3 linked regions of the Styela clava genome follow. The protein of the gene in region 1 purifies or fractionates together with the protein of each later gene. This does not show direct contact. Links are inferred from orthologs where the notes say so. Each region holds a gene or a part of one and is shown in the gene's direction. Other genes may lie near its edges.

What was found.
Region 2: the proteins of regulation of nuclear pre-mRNA domain-containing protein 1B-like (region 1) and p53 and DNA damage-regulated protein 1-like purify together in Homo sapiens (affinity purification with mass spectrometry; 3 studies listed by BioGRID and IntAct, with this or other methods). This does not show direct contact. The link is inferred for Styela clava from reciprocal best matches to the Homo sapiens genes RPRD1B and PDRG1.
Region 3: the proteins of regulation of nuclear pre-mRNA domain-containing protein 1B-like (region 1) and DNA-directed RNA polymerase II subunit RPB4-like purify together in Homo sapiens (affinity purification with mass spectrometry; 3 studies listed by BioGRID and IntAct, counting the BioPlex papers as one, with this or other methods). This does not show direct contact. The link is inferred for Styela clava from reciprocal best matches to the Homo sapiens genes RPRD1B and POLR2D.

What each region holds. Positions count from the first base shown.
Region 1 is NC_135260.1:17,608,858-17,616,248, forward strand, and holds the start of regulation of nuclear pre-mRNA domain-containing protein 1B-like, read left to right. Parts: upstream 1-4,374; 5' UTR 4,375-4,516; intron 4,517-4,975; exon of another isoform or gene 4,976-5,023; 5' UTR 5,024-5,102; coding exon 5,103-5,253; intron 5,254-5,489; coding exon 5,490-5,619; intron 5,620-5,864; coding exon 5,865-5,977; intron 5,978-6,161; coding exon 6,162-6,349; intron 6,350-6,792; coding exon 6,793-6,919; intron 6,920-7,273; coding exon 7,274-7,391. Other genes in the region: solute carrier organic anion transporter family member 4A1-like, read left to right, coding at 67-227, 416-589, 832-885, 1,047-1,217, 1,317-1,532. UniProt on the Homo sapiens protein: Interacts with phosphorylated C-terminal heptapeptide repeat domain (CTD) of the largest RNA polymerase II subunit POLR2A, and participates in dephosphorylation of the CTD by RPAP2. Transcriptional regulator which enhances expression of CCND1.
Region 2 is NC_135262.1:6,592,795-6,599,973, forward strand, and holds p53 and DNA damage-regulated protein 1-like, read left to right. Parts: upstream 1-4,286; 5' UTR 4,287-4,424; coding exon 4,425-4,829; 3' UTR 4,830-6,657; downstream 6,658-7,179. Other genes in the region: SPRY domain-containing protein 7-like, read left to right, coding at 6,712-7,179. UniProt on the Homo sapiens protein: May play a role in chaperone-mediated protein folding.
Region 3 is NC_135263.1:10,962,915-10,969,117, reverse strand, and holds DNA-directed RNA polymerase II subunit RPB4-like, read left to right. Parts: upstream 1-4,661; 5' UTR 4,662-4,670; coding exon 4,671-4,856; intron 4,857-5,080; coding exon 5,081-5,332; 3' UTR 5,333-5,681; downstream 5,682-6,203. Other genes in the region: dehydrogenase/reductase SDR family member 13-like, read left to right, coding at 3,272-4,288. UniProt on the Homo sapiens protein: Core component of RNA polymerase II (Pol II), a DNA-dependent RNA polymerase which synthesizes mRNA precursors and many functional non-coding RNAs using the four ribonucleoside triphosphates as substrates.

The sequences.
Region 1 (7,391 bases):
GAATGAATAAATGGACGCGTTTCTAATAATATTTCAGGCTTGTTCATTTCAACCGTTTTTTTTTAGAAATTGCCGGAGTAACCATACCGTACAATGGCCAAAGTAACATCATTTGTAACACAACTGCGTGTGGATGCAGCACGGAATTTTACGATCCGGTATGTGGCGCGGACAATATGACATATTTATCTTACTGCGACGCGGGATGTGACCAAGTCAGTGCGATGGTATGTATTAGTTTTTTGTTTATTTTTCATAAAATGCGTGATAGTTTAGCAGAGTTGTTTCATGTTGCTCTTTTAACGACATTGTCACAAGGGATCGAAATTTTCTTCGGAAATGGCTCGTAACCCCTGGATACGTATCACGGAACAGTAGGGAGCAATATGATCCAACCAATTCATCCTTTTTACAGAATTTTGACAACTGCTCAGGAGTATTGGATTCATCCTCAATCAGCGAAGTTTCAATGGCGTCAGCAATTAAGGGAAAATGCGTACAAGATACATGTCAAAACATGGGACTATTTGCAGTCATCATTGCACTAGCAGTGTTTTTCATATTTTTAAGTGCGCAACCTGCATTACAGGTAAGAAGACTTTTCCAACAAATACGAAACTGTTATATTTTATGCAATAACACCCATCTATAAATGTTTTTTAACCAATAAATTGACATTGACTGTCATTCCACCGCCAAATTTGCAACCTTTATTTCCTACCTATATTTGAAATGTTACGGAATCTATATACCAGGAAGTTATTTTTGAACAAAACATATTATATGTTTTTTGAATTTTCTATTATAAATAATTCAACTTATCATTTACAGGCTTCTCTTCGGGCTGTCCCTTATTTCCAGCGTTCATTTGCAATTGGAATACAGGTACTTAATTAAACTTCTTTTCTGGTATTTGCCACATATTTTGATTAGGTGTTTCAAAAAGTTTTCACATTTATTGCTGATTTTTTTATATGTTCGCGAAAGCAAATGTTCGCAAATTTGAACCACCGTTCGTTTTAACACCTACAACAAATTTTTTTCAGTGGCTGATCCTACGACTGCTCGGAAGTGTCCCCATGCCTAATATACTCGGAGCAGTTTTAGATCTGTCCTGTACGGTATGGGGAATGCAATGCGGAGTCTGTGGATCTTGCAAAATATATAACAACCAAGATATGTCAAAGTATATGACGATTGTACTAACAGTGGTGAAGGTACGTTCATATATGTTGCAATACCATACGTTAATTGCATTGAAGGATAAAAATACTCGTTAAAAATACTCAAACATTATTATATGTCTTGTTCCACAGGCGTTTTCGGTGTTTTTTTTCGCGTTGGCGTGGAAGACCTACAAATCACCGCCACCGAAAGCCGACGAATCCGAGAGTACCGCTGTTAAAACGACGTGTTCGCCTACAAAATCAGCTGACGCAATTCAAGGAATCGCCATGACTGAAGTTGATCACAAGAAAACTTTACCGGAGGATCGAAGCCATGATAATCCGAACTTTGTGCCCGATTCGTAATTTAACGTGGTGCCGGTTAACTAAAATTAAGTGCTAACGAGAATAGACTGAAAAGATATTCAGCCATAGTGTACCTCATAATATATTCCGGCAAGAACACTGCAAACGAGAAACGACGAAAATGTCTGCCGAAACAATATTTCCAGGGCATCGTTAGTGCAGCAATTCGAAAAAATGCCTTTCTTGGGATGACGATAATTACGTGACAAATTGAAAAAATGATTTCATTGACAACGAATATCAATCTTCGTCTTTGCATAAATGAAAAGATTCCTTCTCATTTAATAAAAACTATAATCTTGATTTAGTTAATCTGAAAGCATTCCAAAAATCGACATTCAAACTATTTTTCGAAAATAGTATGTATACTGCCGAAATGACGTTACTAACCCTACGTATATAGGCTAAGTAATTTGCTAGGATGATAAATTAATTTGAGCTAGATGTGAATCAGTGCAATTTCGTAACCAATTCCATCAACTGAATTTATCTTCAATCTACTTTTATTAAACTATAGTATTTATTTATTCTAGCATTTAATATTTAATTTCATATTAATGTGATAATGTTTATGGCAATAGACAATCCAATTGTAAATAAGTTTTATTACAGCAATGTCGTCATGCACTATTTTTTAAATTTTTTGAATGATTATTTAAGAGACATAAAAATAAAAGTCGGTACAGGTTTCCGCAAATTGAAAATTTTCATTAGTATTCAAGTGGGAGACTTTAATAGAATATGAGATATGGCAATATATAGCCAGTGACAATACAGAGCACCTCCGGTGCGAGTGGACAACAAACATTTCTTGGTCAGTAGACTTTTATTGCAACGTTAAGGAATCCATTGAAGCAGTGTTAGAGTCCCTGAAAAGAAATGACTTGACTTTATAGTTTTATTCCAATATATATGTGCGCAAAGTCTTGAATCTAGCTCTATCACACCAACCTAACTATTCAGAATTTTTTCTTAATATTTAATATAGAAATAGAATATATTCAAAGAGGAAACAATTTATTTGAAAAATTACGATATTATTCTATATATCTTAGCTTTAATCACATTTGAAATAGCGCAGATATTAGGATAATTGATGAACCCATGCTTTTTACTGCTTGGTTGATGATATAGAGAAGTGCTTCTATTATAGAAGTAGTATGCCCATGGGGGGACTTCATTTTGGGGGGGGGGGTGGTAAATAAATAATACACACAAATTAAAAATGGAGAATCCCGGGAAGCGAGCAAAATCTTTAATGCAGTTTTAAATATGAGAAAAATCATGTGCCCGCTCACCAGCACACTTTCGTAAAAAAGTTACAAAAAACACAAACTTTATTGAAAAAAATTGACGAATGTTTGGAACTTTCGGGATGTTGTACTTTTAAAATACTTCAGCTAATAATGATCCATTCAATCTGATACAAAGATAACGTGTGGTAAGTGGTGGTGAAAGGATAGTGTTTCTTAGAGATGGTTGCTTGGAAGAAGCATGTTTAAATATTCATTGTAAAATATTATCTAATAATATAAAAACCTTTAATTATAAACTAATGTTTCAGTTAAAGTTAAACCAAGGATTAAACATATTTCTGGAAATGATTTATGTGTATTTTGTTCTCAAGCACCGGAATTTATATCTCATTTATTTTGGAAATGTGCTGAACGCAAAAGGACTGACGTAATCTGCAAGAACCTATGAATAATTGTATTAATTTTTATTTTTCTGCCAACGATAATTAAAAAACATGTGAAATAATGTCTATTTACTGTTAAACATGGTGAACTTTATCTGGAATCAACAATGGAACAATTTAAATTACTTGATAATACTGGATTATGTTTATGAATATATTTATTTATTATACGTGACTATGTTCTATGTTTATTAATTTTTCACCATTTATTTATTTTTACAAAACTGTTTCGAATCCACAATGAGAAACCTTATAAAACAAGAGAGCTATGCTCAAATATATGGACACGTAGAGTCACATAATTTTGATGACGTCATAGCGAAAAAAAAAATATAGCCTTCTGGAGAAAATTTTATTCTTCAACCACTGAAAATTTCAAAGCAATTGGTCCAGTATTCGAAGAGAAAAGCGACTTTTTAAGAACGTGTCAAAGAACAAGAACAACAACAACAACATAATATTGAAACGATCGTTATGTCCACTACGTGTCCAAAAAGACAACGTGTGGGATGCAATGTGATGAAGTGGCCTGGATAGTCAAAAGTCATGAAGAACTACACTAATTCGGCATTGGTGAATGATGATAAAGTGGTTTAAGATACATACAAACTTGAATCAACTATGCCAATACATTCTATGCTCGGAAACTCCTAAGTGCAATTTCAAGTATTTTGTGGCGTCTAGAGCTACATTAAAACCATGGCGGGATTTCCAAACCATTGCGCTATGACCAAACCAACGACTGGACCAAACCCATTGCGACTGACTTTTTAACAGCAAATCGAATACCATCAATTTTGCTGCCGTAACCATGGCATGTCGGCTGTAATAGTAGGGCTGCCACTGATGGTGATAAATATTAGGGTATCTCCTGAAGTATGCGCTCCAAGATGGCGCACAACCTGAACTCAGGTCGTGTATCAGCTTAGGGTTCCGGTTGTGAGGCATCTTGCTGCTCATACTTCAGGAGTACCATATCGGGTAAGTTGGAACGCTTTTTTTATAAGTACAGTTTTGATGTATTTGGGGTTGGGTTTAAGTCGATATATTTCCGCATGATAAACTACAATATTGTACATGACTTTGTAAATATACCGGTAATACAGCGATGAAACCATGGCAAGAGACGCCGCGGTACGTTCGTGGCAGGAGCTGCCATGAAGTGGTAAGAACTGCGCCTCGAAACTCCGGTAAGCTGGTGCGCACACGGTAGACTCTGGCTATTTCAATTGCCAGTTCTGCAGTTAGATGATAACTTCGTGAGACTTGATTCTAGCCAAAGTAGGTATTCAAGTCGCAAATTTGTCTAGTTTGGTTCTCTTATGAATAGTATAGATATTAGATAGGTATGGCAAATTATGCATTGTTACCGTATCGTATCTCGAGCAAAGTGGTGCCAATAAAACTAACGGCGTGACATTTATTACTGTATTACACTTACAGTATTATCTGAAATTTGAACTCGTGGGTTTTCATTTTTCCTAAAAAGGAGAAATTCTGAAATTGAAATTGGACAATATGGTACCAATGCAGCTAAAACTGTACGGTACGGTACCTATAATGACCTATATGACAGAATGCGATCCTAATTCTAATTGTCCGTGCGTAGACGGCTTTGCTTGTGTGGCTAAAATCTAGCCCATGTTCACATGTTAGTTCAGTCTCCTTCAGCCTTATTTTGCCAATTTTCAAAATGACTGAAAAGTGCCTAATTCACAATTGCCTTCTTTTGATCTTTTAGTCTGTATAGAATTAGCCTATAATATTAATATACTGATATTATTCGTTACAGTACTGCATGGTTCTGGCTGTATTCCTGGTTTCCGGGTTTTGTTAGATAGACATAGTTGGTGACCAGGTAACGGTCCAACATGTCATCATTCTCAGAAGCTGCACTTGTGGACAAGTTGTCTGAATTGACTAACTCAATGCAGATCATTCAGACACTGTCTTTGTGGCTGATACATCACCGTCGTCATTCAAAAACAATTATACAAGTTTGGCAAACAGAACTAATCAAAGGTAATGTGAAATGATTTTGACAGTTTAAACAATTTTCTTGACTTATTTATCACAGTATCATAAGATCATTCTGTTGTGAATTATTGTAAAAGAACAGGAGGGACTAGCAGTAAACCCATTTTTTTTCAAAACAGACAATTTGTAAGAAAGTAGGCTAGTGAAACTTTATTACGGATCGGGTATAACTAAGTATGATATATTTTCAAACAACATATTAAAATATATCTTCATTTTAGCAAAAACCAGCAAAAAGTTGACCTTCCTCTACCTTGCAAATGACATTCTGCAAAATTGCAAAAAGAAAGGTCCAGAGTTTCATAAAGCATTTGGTGGAGTACTGATAACAGCGTTTACTCACGTTGCTAAGTATATACCATTTGTTTATGTATTATTTAATTTTATATGTTTTTTTTTCGTTTATAAGTTCCAATGTAAATCCACAATAATTTTAGATTTCATCTGTGGAATTCAAAAAAATGTTCATTCTGGTACAAGCAAATTGTATAGATAAAATTGGAAACTTAATTATCTGATGAACATCTACCAATGTAATGCTTAGTTTGCTATAATTGCTATTTATCCCTCGATATCCAAAACAAATTTATTTTCAGACATGCTGATGAAAAAACAATGAAATCCGTTCTTCGTATTCTTGACATTTGGCAAGAGAGGGCTGTATTTGAAATGGAATATGTCAATCAAATAAGGAAGTCTATAGGGAAAGGTAATAAATTGGATTTTTCATCCATGATTCATACATATTGATGCTGCTCTGCATTATAATAAAAAATGAGTATATTTGTTTGTTCGAATATTGCGAAGAACTTTGGGGTTTTAAGATTTGGTCATGTAAATTCATAATTCCATGATTAAAAATAGTGAAATTACTTTGTGACCATTTCCAACAGTATCAAAACAAACAAAGCAACCGAAAACGAAGAAAGTACAGCCAACGAAGAAAGTTGCAGTTGCTGATTCATCATCAAAAGCTCCAGAAGAAGAAAAACCTGTAAGAAAGAAAAGCCGACTCGATGAATTAATAACAGAAGAAGAGGATGATGATTATTTAACTTTATCACCGAGGGATCCTCCAGAGGTTGATTTTTTATTTAGCATCATTTGAAAACTCGCAGCAGTATGTAAAAGTCTGTAGCTTAATGAAGTAATTTAAATATTTGTGAGTATGATCAGGTTTTTGTACTTTGATTCACCAAATTCATACATTTACTGAAACAATCCAAAACAAGACTGCCAGAAGAAAAACGAGGTACTCAGGGTAAAATTTTATAGCATAGAAATTAAGATAATCCGGAACCTTCCAACGTAGGAATGAGATCTACCGACTCATCTAGTAGGAGAAAGACAAAATGTTTAGAATAACATTGTCTGTAATATGATATTCATACAGTTAAGCCTCAACGTGAAAGAAATTTCAAACCTAAAGCATCATATTCATAACTCCCATAAGAATTTTGTCAGGCAGGTTTAGAAAATAACAAGAGAATCTTCAACCTATTTTTATATTGTTGTATCATCCAGGCTGAAGATCTAGTAAAAGCTCTAACAGAATTGGAGAATGCGGCCTCTACAGATGCAGCAGTTCGTGAAAAAATTGCAAGTTTGCCTCCTGAGGTTCAAGATATATCAAGACTGGATAAGATAGCTGGTAGGTTTTTCTACATCTGAAAACCTATTGTACTGAGATGTCTACTGAATTCTAGTTGATGTTATTTATTGAGATGTAATACTAATGCTGCCATGTCATGGGTTAACTAAATAGTGCAGTTTAAATTATGTGATCAGACTTATAAAACAATTCTCGTTCTAAATATTTAATTGTAGGCAACATCACATGTTGAACTACTTATATCTTATGGTTTTCTCTCGGCTTTGCATAAAATTTTTCATATGCACATTGGCTATCACATTATATTAACATACTTCAGTATATCTAAGTAGATTGTGGAATGTGAAATATCAGTCCTTCTTGTTACTATAACATATTTATGTCATAATTTAGATATTGAGAGTGCAGAAAAGTTATCGGCAATAGTGGATGAAGCTTGTCTGCTTTTAGCCGAATATAATGGTCGACTTGTTGCTGAAATTGATGATAGAAGACAAGTAGCAAGAATGTT
Region 2 (7,179 bases), on another chromosome or scaffold:
TCGGAGTCCGAGAAAGTTCGATCCACCCTCCAATCATTAAAAAACGTTTTCAAGTTCCTAAGTTCTGGAATGTGGATAATAAAAATGACCCTGCACCGACTTCCCTGTTTACGTCCGTAATATTGACTAATCTGCAAGTTGTCACTGGTTGTGTAACAATTGGATTTTTAGCAGCCGCTCAGTCACCTTTTTTACTCGAACAGACTTTCATGCATGGCGATGAACAGTAGCTTGTTTTCGTGATTTTGCATGCTATTTGTAACTTTTGTGATGGGAAACATATAACAGTATGTGGACGCCAATTTTATAAACATATAAACCAGTATGTAAGCGCCAACTGGCAAAAAATCTCAAGATAAACATCGTTCTGTTAGTCGCTAGTTCGCTGTGCAAAATATAGGGAGAATTTTTCAGGGTCAAAGGTTAAGGAAACATTCATTATTGCACAGTTTTTCAGACAGCAGGTGTCAGAATTGAGCAGAGCAGGTTTCGTAGGACAGGAAAGCTCCACTAGATGTACCAAAGCTTTGCTTATTTATTTTATGTCATTATATTTTCGTATGTAATACGCTAATACCGGCCTCACAATGGTGATTTGAATAAGTAACATGGTTTCTCAAAAGTAGTGTCCAGTTTACAATTTCCCCCACATAACACCGATGGGTGTGCCATTCCTGAACACTGATCTCTTGTTTATGACTCCCACTACCGGTACGGTACCTAATTTTATACATGCTGTCTCAAACTCCAAAATAAACGGGCTATAAACTCTATCTGCTGACTCATTTTCTGCTTTTTTCATATCGTGCGACCAATTCTGATAGTTTGATTACTGGTTTAAATGAAATGTTTAAGAGCTCATATGACCTTGGACGGTCTTGCTTACTACGGTACCACCGTACTTCACTGACCTCCACATAACCTTTAAATTGGATAATGCAGTAAATAAAAAGAAGTCTGTCACTTTCTCTGTGTCAGGCAGTCAGAAACACAATTCTGTAACCTTAAACCTGCTAACCCATGAACTCATTGCGCGCTTTTCTTCCTAGTCCATTCTCCTGAAATTTTGAAACTGACTACTGGTAGCTATTCTCATACAAAACCATTGCAGTTCCAGCATATTGTTTGTCATATGATCATCTCGTTAATCAAAACAAGCTGTATGGGAATATCAAATAGTTGTTTATTCTCATATATAACTAGGTTAAATGCTGATTTGTCTGGCTTATTTCACAATCAAAGTATTCACTGCAGTAAATTTATCATGCTCGATATATTTTAACAACATTCTTAAATTGGCCCTAACCTTATTTGCTGTTCTTGTCTGGTGAAGTTTAAAACTATATAGATAATTTAATCATGATTCTCAATCACCAATTTTGTAGTGGCGCCTACATGACCCTTTGTCTTCATGCACTTGTTAGCACAACTAGGATAAAGCTCGATAGCGATAAAGCTATTGTACGTCAATCATAAATTAACGGGTACTCCTGAAGTATGCGCACCAAGATGTCGCATAACCTGAACCCTAACCTGGTACACAACTTTAGTTCAGGTTGTGCGCCATCTTGGTGCGCATACTTCAGGAGGTTCAATTAATGATTACCGATTACCGACTCTGCTGTATGCAAGCTTTCTTCAATCGACTGTTGAGAGTGCTGATAAAAAAAATATGAGTTTTGAGTCTTTGTAGAAATTTTGAATTCTTCTTCCTCAAGGCGTTAAATACATGGCAATTCGCTATTATTACGATCCTGTCTGGCTCTAACAAGTCTCGGAATATCAGTATGAAATAGCCGAAGGTTCAAAGCACATCATTATAATTTTATTGTAAATATCATTACACATATTCTGTTTACTCTGGCTTCAATTTCTCACATTCCTACCGTGTTTCCTCGAAAATAAGACTGGGTGGTATTTCAATTTCTTCCGAAAAATAACACTAAAGCTTATTTTCCAGGATGTCTTATATTTTCATTTATCAAAAACAAATTCACAAAGTAGAGAATTACGAGATTTTCAAATATAGAAAATATGAAATCCGATATCCATTGACTTATAAATAACACGTTTTTATTCGAAACAATGTTAGTGACGTTTTCATTTTTGACTCCCCTAAGTATCAGGCTGCAAAATAGTAAATAAACGTAGTAGCAGTTAATTTTTCATTGTCAATATATAGCTGATTATATAATATATACACAAAAGTCATACCAAACATTACTATTAGGCTGTAATCATAGATTCAACCAGTCGATCAAAACTAACACTCAACATTTTAGGGAACGAAATTGTGACAAAATTAACTGTGCTGAAAATATTGTGAAAAATGAGAGGTTGTCATTTGTGACTTTTAAAGACTATAATTTTGCTTTTTATATTCTCCTTATTATTGAGAAAATAAGAAAATTTCTAATGACTATCTATATTTATACAAAGTATATATAAAACTAGTAGAAATTCCATCGGTTCGCTAAAATTTAGATTGTTCATATCTGAAACAATTAACTGGCTAACTAATCCCATACCCGACATAGACTGGTAGCTTAAGGCGAGGCCATGGTTTGCCATATGATTAGGCAGTCTTATCAGCTTTACTTCCACCCGGGATAAATATGAAAATCCTATCTTATGTTTCTGAATTTAATTGTGAAAGCTAATTTTGTACTGTCTTGGACTCAATACATTCTGTCTGTCATTTACACATACCTCAGATTTTTTTTATTTTTTTTTTGGTATTATTTTCAGAGGTATAAGCAATAACCGTACTCATGATAGAACTAAAATAAGGAAAATTGAAATAAAATTATGGCCTAACCCTAACCTGGTACACATACAACGTTCCGGTGTTCGCCATCTTGGTGTACATACCACAGGAGTTTCAACACACATTTTCAACATGTTTGCCTCACTATCTGTTATTAGTAGCTAGTCATTTTTGACAAATTCTAAAAAGGTGGCTCAGCTTAAAAAGTTCGAGAACAACTGGTGTACAGTATTGATGAAGAGCCAATGACTGAAATGAAACGGTTTATCATAGCTTGTATTTGATATTCTAAATTCCAGATTGGACAAATTATTTGTTTTATTTGAAAATTATTTTGAGCAATTGGAATCTGACATTATACCCAATTTAATTTTTCAAACTAAAAAAAATGAACCGACCACCAATCAAATCGCTGTTCATCTTAATATTTCCAAACTCAAATTTATTGAATATACATCTGATATTTTTAATATGACCCAATTTGGAATGTTCAGTACCCAATTTGGATATTTCAGATTCAAAAATATTAATTTGTAATTACATTCAAAATTGTAAGCTTTTCGGTTTTGGCCATTCCTTCATGTGATTTTTTTATTCATTTAATTAAATAATATTTCATGATTTTGCCTCTTTCAACATGATTTAAGACATTTCTCGAATATTAAATTTTTCAATTTTAGCCATACAATTTATCTTTCTGTTATGAAACTGGGAAAATTGAAAATGAATTTTCAATCAATAATATATCAAAATTGACTGAATAATTTGTCATAGAGGGCGCTAGAGTTTAATTCAGGGTTGTTAATATTATAAGGGCTGGTGTAACTTATGTGTGATATCATGTGTGTTATAGAGGTATAAGAAATCTTTTCTGCGCTGTTAGATTCAGCACAATTCTATATTATTTTGTATGAGAATATAAGTCAGATTTATTCCATGTATACTGATTTGATATTCGCTTTGACTATTATTAAAAAATTATTAATATGGTGTGACAAATAATTTTTTTTAATTCATTTTTTTAGCTCAAGTATTTCACACTTTTTTACTATATCCTTGTGGTTAGATGTGTGAATAAATTTGAATTACCGATAGTTAACTTTTAACATGTAGTAACGCCCTTTCTTTTCAATTCTGTACATTTTATACCTTACATAGGGTTTTATTTGCTCTCCTGATTCAGTAATCAGTTTTTATCTATTTGTTTTAAATTCTATTTTAGAATTAATTTTTTGATGAAACTGCTAGATAAAAATTAGCATAAGTTTCTTAGTTGACATTCCAAAATAATCCTATGCCTGAAGTGAAATACACAAAGCTTTCTCGGCGTTACGGAACACCTGGAGAAGAAAAATACATTGATTTACAGTTCAAAAAACCGCCACAAAAAATTCCTTGGCGAGCGATTCGGGCTGCTGTTATTTTATTTTTACTTGGAAGTATTCTCATCATTGTTGGAGCTCTTCTAGTTTCTGGACATATTGACGAAAAATATAGTGATCGAACGTGGCCCGTTCTTATTCTTGGAATACTGACATTTGTTCCGGGGTTTTATCACGTAAGAATCGCTTACTACGCTTGGAGAGGATATAAAGGTTATTCGTTCGAAGATATACCAGAGTATAATTGAGTAGTTGTATTTATTTAAAATCAGAAAATGGCAAGGGATCCTGATTCTGTTTTGAAATATTTGACTGAAGTTGAGGAGCAAGCCGAAGATATTCTCTCCGATAAACAACAAATTGTCGACTTGGACAAACGAAGAAATATGAACAGAGAAGCATTAAGAGCTATAAAGAATGGCGTAGCCGCACCCAATAAATCTAAAACCTGGTTAAATTCTGGTGGAATGTTTATCAAATTACCGTCAAGCGCAGCAACTGATATGCTCACTACAGACCAACATTACCTTGACGAAGAGATCAACAGTGTTCGAACAAAATTACATGATAAAGTTAATAAAATGCGAGATGTTGAAGGACAATCTGATTTAAAAGGATTTGACTTGAATGCCTTAAGTAAAACTGAATTAGAGGGTCTTCAGAAAAGTAGGCTGCTATGAAAAATAAATCTACTTTTTGGCAAAAATTTGTAAGAATAAATAATCACCTTAAATTATAATCTGGGTGTTGGAAAACGCACCATTTGACCCTAATAACGACACTGTGGAAGTTAACAATCTGTCGAATATTTTGATAGGATTTTCACATTTACATTCACACATTTCACATTCTTTGGGAGAGGATAACTGAAAAAAGAAAAAAACGGCTAAAATATAATATGGCGAAGCAAGGCTTTTCGTTTGGTAAACAGTCCTATTGCGTATAGGAATAGTTAACCAGTAATTTGTTTCAGATGCGTGAACTTGATGGTGTAGGCTAGGGCTACTCAACTATTTTTTACCAAAGATTCGTATACAAAATTACTGAGTTATAGTCTTTTCAGAAATTATATTTAGACATTTTTAAATGCACACTTTCTTAGCTGGCTATTGATTATTCTCTGATCGAGATAGTCCAGCGCATTCATAAGCAAATTATACAGTACCTTTAAATCTATAAAAGTCATTTAATAAAAGGAACATTCACATATCCAAAGTGGCGCCAATGATCAGAAATAAAGAATCGGGTGCGGTCCGAATCTAATACTCGAAAGGTGCGAATTCGGACCGCTGTCCGCCAGTTGAGTAGCCCTCGTGTAGGTCATTGGCTTCTATCATCTAATGTTATTTCAGTGTAAAAATGTCAAATTTTGCTGTAAATTGTAATTTTTAAATATTTGATGCCCAAAATAAATGGAATATTTAAATACTTTCTAAATTAGTTTTATTCGATTCAGTGAATAATCAATTTTACGAATCATTTAAAATGTTTTTAATTGAATAAATTGAATTTTGCACAAATTATCGTTCATAGGTAAAAGGTGCAATTCATGAAAATTGATATAGTCTTGCGCTTGGTGTTTGAAAGAAATCTTGTCATTTACCGATCCCCTAAAAACGGTCGCAGAAGAGTATTATTAAAAATGATGACCATTACTGTTATGTATTACTTTTATTATTAACAGTAAGTAGTTATCAAAATCCTTTGAATTCATCCTTGCTATCACTGTCAGTTCGATCTTTAGCTGTTGGAATTAAGTTAGCATAATGTAATTTTGTTTGAGTGCAATCAGAGGTATGGGCCAAATTTTTAGTGCGATCAGGTAATACGGCGTAATCATTTTGCGAGCCACGGCCTCTCGTCTTGTTACCAGTCCATGTCGGGTATGAAATTAGTTTGCTGGGTATTTATTTCAGATGCATGGAAACGTATTTATCTGTATTTGTTGTCCAATAACAGAAATGTTACAATCGTCATCTGCTTGGTACTAATCTGAATTGGATAATAATAAGTATTTAGTATATACTGAATATGTCACTAATGTTTTTCATTGTTACTACCATTTTTCCATAATATAGCATATATAGCATTCCATAGTAGCAAAATGACTGTTAGGCCTAATTGATTGTTTATCAGGAAAATTTATAAGGTCATGTGCATTAAATCCCAATTAAAGGGGACTCTGGGCTACTGCCGAAATGTTACGAGATGCTAAGAGTATATAGTTTTGTAATGTTGCATTGTTTACCAGCAGATGCCATTTACTTGAAATTTGAAACAAATCATGTCAATGCAATCAGGCTTTTTGGCTTAGAAGTTTATTTGTCTAGCCAACAGACCTCAAATGCTGAACACAGATATGTGTTAATAAGTAGCAAAACAATTGTTTTTAGTTCTGGTAACTCTTAAACTTTTATTAGCTAATTTTTTGTGTCTATTCATTTTGACCCTAACGGATTACAATATTTCTAATTCCATTTATTACTTTCTCATTATTTATTATTTTAGCTTATTAGTATTAGATGTAAAGATTTTTAGTTATCTTCCAAACCTGCGGACTCCATGGCGCTAACACTTGATTGGTTATGGAGATGCTTTGGATTTTCTTCTAATTCAAGAACAAATCAACAGAATTTATCGAATAATTCTGTTGTTCTCAATACAACAACAATGGGAACGGGTACGGTGATTGTTAAAAACGGTAAAAGGATATGCGGTACCGGTGGGGCTCTCGCTACAGCTCCTATTGCCCAAGACAAAGGCTACTTTGAAGCAAAGGTACAAAGCTCTGGAATATGGGGAATCGGACTTGCACTCGCCAACGCAAATTTAAATCATGTTCCATTAGGAATGTGTGAAAAAACATGGGTATTCCGACATGACGGCACTGTGTGGCACAAAAATAATGAAATATGCAGGACAAAAAATTTACCAGCTGAGGGTGACGTTGTTGGTGTTACATTTGACCATATAGAACTGAAATTTTACCTTAATGGCAAGCCATATCCTTTTGTAGTTAGCGGTGTAAAA
Region 3 (6,203 bases), on another chromosome or scaffold:
GTAGCTGCGATTACTTTGCGGCATTGAGTTGCAAATTGTAGGGTTTTGATTATGCTAATTTAGGATTGTTAGGATGTTTAGGGTTATTTAGTAATATAGGTTCTAATTGAGTTGTATGTCGAAGGCTAATTATACTCTTTTATTGTTTTTGTGTCTTGTAGCTAAATTTAAGTACTGTTGTTGGGCTGGAGACACAAATATATTGTAACCACATCATACAACACATCATACAATACACATACAATACATTTACATACAGACATCAAGTTTTGACATTCACTGTGTTACACTGCCGTTATACTTGCTGTGGAAATTTATCTATCTACTGTGGAACTTTTAACCTGATTGTGGAATTTTACTGGACTGTGACTTGTATATACTGTAAATATACTTTCATTACAAGTTCTTTCATACAAGTTGGATGTGTTTATGTGTGCGTTACTACTGTGTCGAGAGTTAGCTACGGAAGTAGATTGACAAGACAGCCCAATAATCAGAAATAGGACCTGTAGAACCTCTTAACTCTACAACTTCTGCATGACGTAACAATTGAATTAAACCAGCTGTTAGCGAGCGGATGAATATTAGTTATTTCTGCTCGACCTTGCGCTGAGTTGGGCAGGCTTTCCATAGCCCTGTTTAGTTATTATTAGTTAAGTTATGCTAAGACGTTGTTGAAAAATGTATAAGTAAATTATTAAACACTTGTAGATCCTTACCACGGATATGGGCCGTGAGACGAAACCATGAAAACGCCCAGAAAATGAGTTTCGTAGCGCACATCTGGTAACTAAATAAATTCTTCAGTTTTGTGTGAAAACGAACATAATGAACGCATTACAGCTTGTTCCACAATCCTGGTGCGAAATTGAATATAAGAGGTTCCCGGAAATTCAATAACCATAAGTTTACAACGCATACATAAGAACTATACAATTCGAGAGCCCTACAGCACACTAACACAAATGTATTCCTGTAATGTTTTGCCTGACCAAAATCGGACTTCCTCAGTCAATCATAATTTATTAGGTAGATTACGAAAAATATGGCATACATGTAACCAACAACAAAAAATACTTTAATTGTGTGACAGGAGTCGGGAGTGACCTCGAAAGCAGCGACACCAACAACGCTGATTCACATTTGAGAATAAATTTTATGTAATAACCACAAGCAGTTTACAACAAGAACAGCATAAAAAGCTACATCCATTTTATAGAAGCTATCAAGTATCAAACGTATTTATTTTTAAGCAATGAAGTCACAAATTAACATCGTGAGCACGAAAACACAAATAAATCAGTTATTTCTCACTTAGAAATTTACCGCAAAAGTCAAGAAAATTAAATGAATGTACAATATGTACATAACATAGTGAACAGAAATATTACAATTTACAATTAATCTTTTTTTAGTTTATGTGGTTATGTATTTGAACAAAGGCAATAATATTTCTAGAAACAGGACTACGACACTAACAAATGTCCGAAAAAAAAAACAAATGTATGATACTTATTAAATCAACTGTAATATCTAATTCACTTTCTTCTGAATTGTTTTCGAAATCCACTATCTCAAAATTCGACTTTTCCTCTATAGGTGTACTGTGATTTCTGCAGTCAATACAAAAACAAAAATCTGTGCAATTTAAGTTGATTTTGCCACACTTTCATAAATTATTTTGACTATTTTTCTTTGCAGTTTGCCAACTCAAGAACTGATTTGAGGGCCACATGCTTCTTCAGTGAATCATTGTTGGGTGGAGAGTATAATCCTTATGTTTGACAGTGTTAAATAGACGTGCCCTGGTATCATTTACATTCTTCATATCCTCTTCAAATTCCTCAGCTTTATTTATTAATACCTCGTTAACCTCAAAAGATCTTCATAGTCGAGGGAAAAAAATGAATTGAAAATCTCAATGAAGTCTCCAACATGAATTTGATGGGCAGTTCCAATTGCAGAAAAGTGCTAAAGTATTTCAATATGAATAGCCCATCTAAGCTGTTTGCAACTATTATGATTCTCATATACCTTTAAGCTTCAAGACTTCTTGTTTAATCCATTTTATAGCACTGATAGCAGCAGGGATCAGAGCCTGCGTTAGGTCGGATTGGTGGAACATTGCCGTTTTCTTTTGTAGTACAGTATCTAAAATAAGGAAGAAAATAATATTTGGAGCAGCATGATTTTAAAAATACCCCTAAATACTAACTAATACCTTGAATACATAATGCATTTTATCTGATGTACTAAATGAGCGTATATATGCTCATTGCATGTTCTACAGTCCAGCAGTGTTTGCATACCATTACTAGACTATATCTACACTAAATTTTGATATATCACAGTCTGAAATGTCCTATGACAGTATGAGTATGGACTATAGACTATATTTTGAAACATCAACTGTTTGTCTACAACTTCATTTCTCACCTCTCAATCATTTCCAATGCTACCTTTCTTTCCACTCCGGCATAACTTATCATTGCTTCCCAGGTTCTTGTCGACTCTATGAATTTAGATTTAGACCAACCGACATTAGTAAAATTGATTAATTTCTTCTCTTTCACACAACCGTGCATTACAGAAACAGCCATTCATTTCTATTTCCAAATATGCTGTGGCCTATATAGTAGTATAAGTCTGCTGAATAGTCAAGAAGAGTCATTAAATTAATCATAAACATTTCATGCAAGCCAGAAAATATCGTTGTTTGTGACATATTATTCTAGGTCTAGCCTTCCTTGGAGTTACCGCACCGTACGGTACCTATTTAACAACGTCTTATGAGCTAGTGCTCAACTAAAATTGCTATTTATGGCAAGGATATACAAGTGTTTAATATCTTACCTATACTTTTCAACACCTCCTTAGAATAACTGGACTAATATTACCGGTAACTGAAAAAAACTATGGAAAGGCTACTCAACGCAAAAGCGAGCAGTTGAGTACATCTGATATTCATCCGACCACTGGGGATCCACCTACAGCTGACTAACTTGACTGTTACGTCGTGCAGAAGTCTGCGTTCATTGGCCCATGATACCGGAAAAGCAGAGAAAATAGGACAGATGGTAACACATATTTATTGTAGTAAAAGCGTCTTTTCTGTAAAACGTGCAACTTTTGGAAGTGGGAACAAGGCAATATTTGTTACTAAATTTCTAAGGAACATTTTAAAATCATTTTCAGGTAGTTACCTGATGTGCGCTACGAAACTGAAAGATAAATGGCCTCGGCTCGCGGCCTATATGGATTCCCGAATGCAATGGATGGTGGTCTATTGGTAGCGCTGAGTTGTTTACTCATTATCATAACTTATGCGTGGATGAAGTTTGTCAAAACAGGACCCGTATTCAAGAATGATTTGGAAATTGACGGAAAAACTGTCCTTATTACCGGTGGAAGTTATGGAATAGGAAAAGAGACAGCTCTACAACTTGCAAAACGCAAGGCACGGGTAATTATCGCCAGTAGAAATGAACAGCGTGCGTCAGAAGCTATTTTTGATATCAAGAGCCAGAGTGGAAACGATATGGTGCACTACATGAAGCTGGATTTATCAGATTTTGCGGATGTAAGAAGATTTGTGAGGAATTTCATTGATACAGAACCTAGGCTGGACATTTTAATAAACAATGCAGGTGTTGCTGTTCCTGGAATGACAAATGATGGGAATGATATTATTTTAGCAACAAATCAACTCGGACCTTTTCTTTTAACTAATCTTTTAATTCCACTTTTGAAAAGTTCATCAGATTCCCAACATGTTCGAATAGTAAATGTCAGTGCTGATTTATATACAATTGGAAAAATTGACTTTGGTAATATAAATTTAGGACTTACCAAGGAAAGCCCTTATCAGCAGATAATTCAACAATATTCAAATACAAAATTGATGAATGTATATTTTACAACAGAACTGAATAAAAGACTGAGATCCGAGGATCCAGAAAACAGTTCTATATCAACCTATGCTCTTCATCCTGGTGTGATTGCCAGTGAACTTGGTACAGGAGCAATCCATAATACCTTGATGAAGGTTGGCCACTTGATACTAAAAGCTTGCTTCATGCGTCCACTTTTTTATGGCTGCCAAACCATTTTGTACTGTTGCCTTCAAAAAGGACTCAAGGAAAAAAGTGGAGGGTATTTCTCAAATATGAGGATGAGACAATTAAAAGCAGTTGCAACAGATTCAGAAACTGGTCTGAAACTTTGGAAAGTATGTGAACAAATGACTGGATTAACTAAAGAAGAAGATTATTTTGCAAAAAGCGATTAAAGTATTCTGCATGTTGGATATTTCATAAATTACAGTACTGGTGGGACAGGTCTTCTCAGTGGAAAACTACCTCACAAATATAGCAATTTTGTGAAAGATGTATGGTATCAGTTTAGAACTACATTACATTCATTTTTTTGCATGCAGAATTTTTTATTGGATTTTCTATTTTGAATTTTGTTTACTTGACGAACAGTGAAAAATGCTTGATTGTGTTATAGTTAGTCCAATTGAACCCTTTTTCTGCCATGCTTGTTTCCCATTGTAGAAATAAAGTTATTTAAGTCCTAAATTATGCCACAAAATGGCATTGAAGATGATATCTTATATTTATCCAGATAAAATATTTATATACTTTATAATTTCTTTGTAAATTTCTGTCATGACGTCCTCCTCCACAAAAGCTCTTAGTTCTGTGTTGGAAGACAAAGAAGAAGATGCATCGCAGCTACAATTTCCTCCTGAATTTGAGAATGCAGAAACTTTGCTCAACTCGGAAGTTCATATGTTACTTGAACATCGGAAACAGCAAAATGAAAATGTTGAAGAAGAACAAGAATTATCAGAGGTATAAATCTTGCCCAACAATTGGAAACAAGAATAAATATGAAAATGCTGAACTATATTTTATGAAGCATAGCTACATAAAAAGCGCATACAAGATGAACGAAACTTATGGATAGTTGTCTTTGCTATTATTATTGAGATATAAATAGCAACATCCTGTTGCAAAATACATTTTTTCCATATTTTTAGTGTTCCCATTATTCATTTATTTTTTGTTTTATTTAGGTATTTATGAAAACACTGAACTACACACAGCGTTTCAGTCGATTTAAAAATCGTGAAACAATAGCAAGTGTTCGCAGCCTGTTACTTCAAAAGAAACTCCATAAATTCGAGCTTGCATCTCTCGCGAACTTATGTCCTGAAACTGCCGAAGAAGCTAAAGCACTTATCCCCAGTCTAGAAGGCCGATTTGAAGATGAGGAACTACTACAAGTTCTCAATGATATTCAATTAAAAAGAAGTTTCCAGGCTTGATGATGAATAAATGAAACAAATTTCATCGATTAAGAGCAAAGTGCAGCCTTGCTGGATTGTTCAGTTCCAGTTCTAAATGTCTGGGGTCCAAATTATATGAAGGCTGCATGAATTTTAATACTGCAATCATTGAAAAACAGCATGAGTGATGGTAAAGACAAAATAATAGTTTGAAACCAAGTACTGATGTATACAAGAGAAGATTTTTCTCATACAGGTAAAATGGTCACATAACATAAACTCTAGGGAGGATGTACTGTACTTAATAATGAGATATTCTAGGGGTTTTTCTATTTTTATATGAGGAGTTCCTCTGTGCTTCTGATATTAAAGAGCATCTTGGAGCAGAGATTTTGCATCCATTTTATAATTGCTTCACCAATGTTGATATAGAAACCAGCAGTTCCGGTTGCCTGGACTCTATTATTTGATAGTTCAGCCATAGAAAAAGTATATAAGCAACAATGCTATTATTCAATTAGCTGCGGACAGTGCGGTCTGATTGTGGTGTACTTTGATTATCATAAACAAATTCTCTTGAGGTCACGTGCCACGTTATGTAAATCCCTATGCCAGGAATGACACAGAATTTTATATATTGGAATGGAACTAAAGGCACAATCAATGTGTTGTTGTCTTTAGGGGATGTCACTAAAATGTGTGTCCATATATAGACACCAGATATTTAGGACACCCGTCTTTCGTTGTAGTCTCCAAATACTAGTGTTTGCAGAACGACTTCCTCATCCGTTTTTAAAATAGGATTGGTTATTTTTTCACACTCGTTTCAGCAGAGAAAGCCTATAAGAACATGTTGTCATTCGGCTAGTCACGTGTTCTCGACATCAGTCTTGGCAAAAGCAAGTTGGTT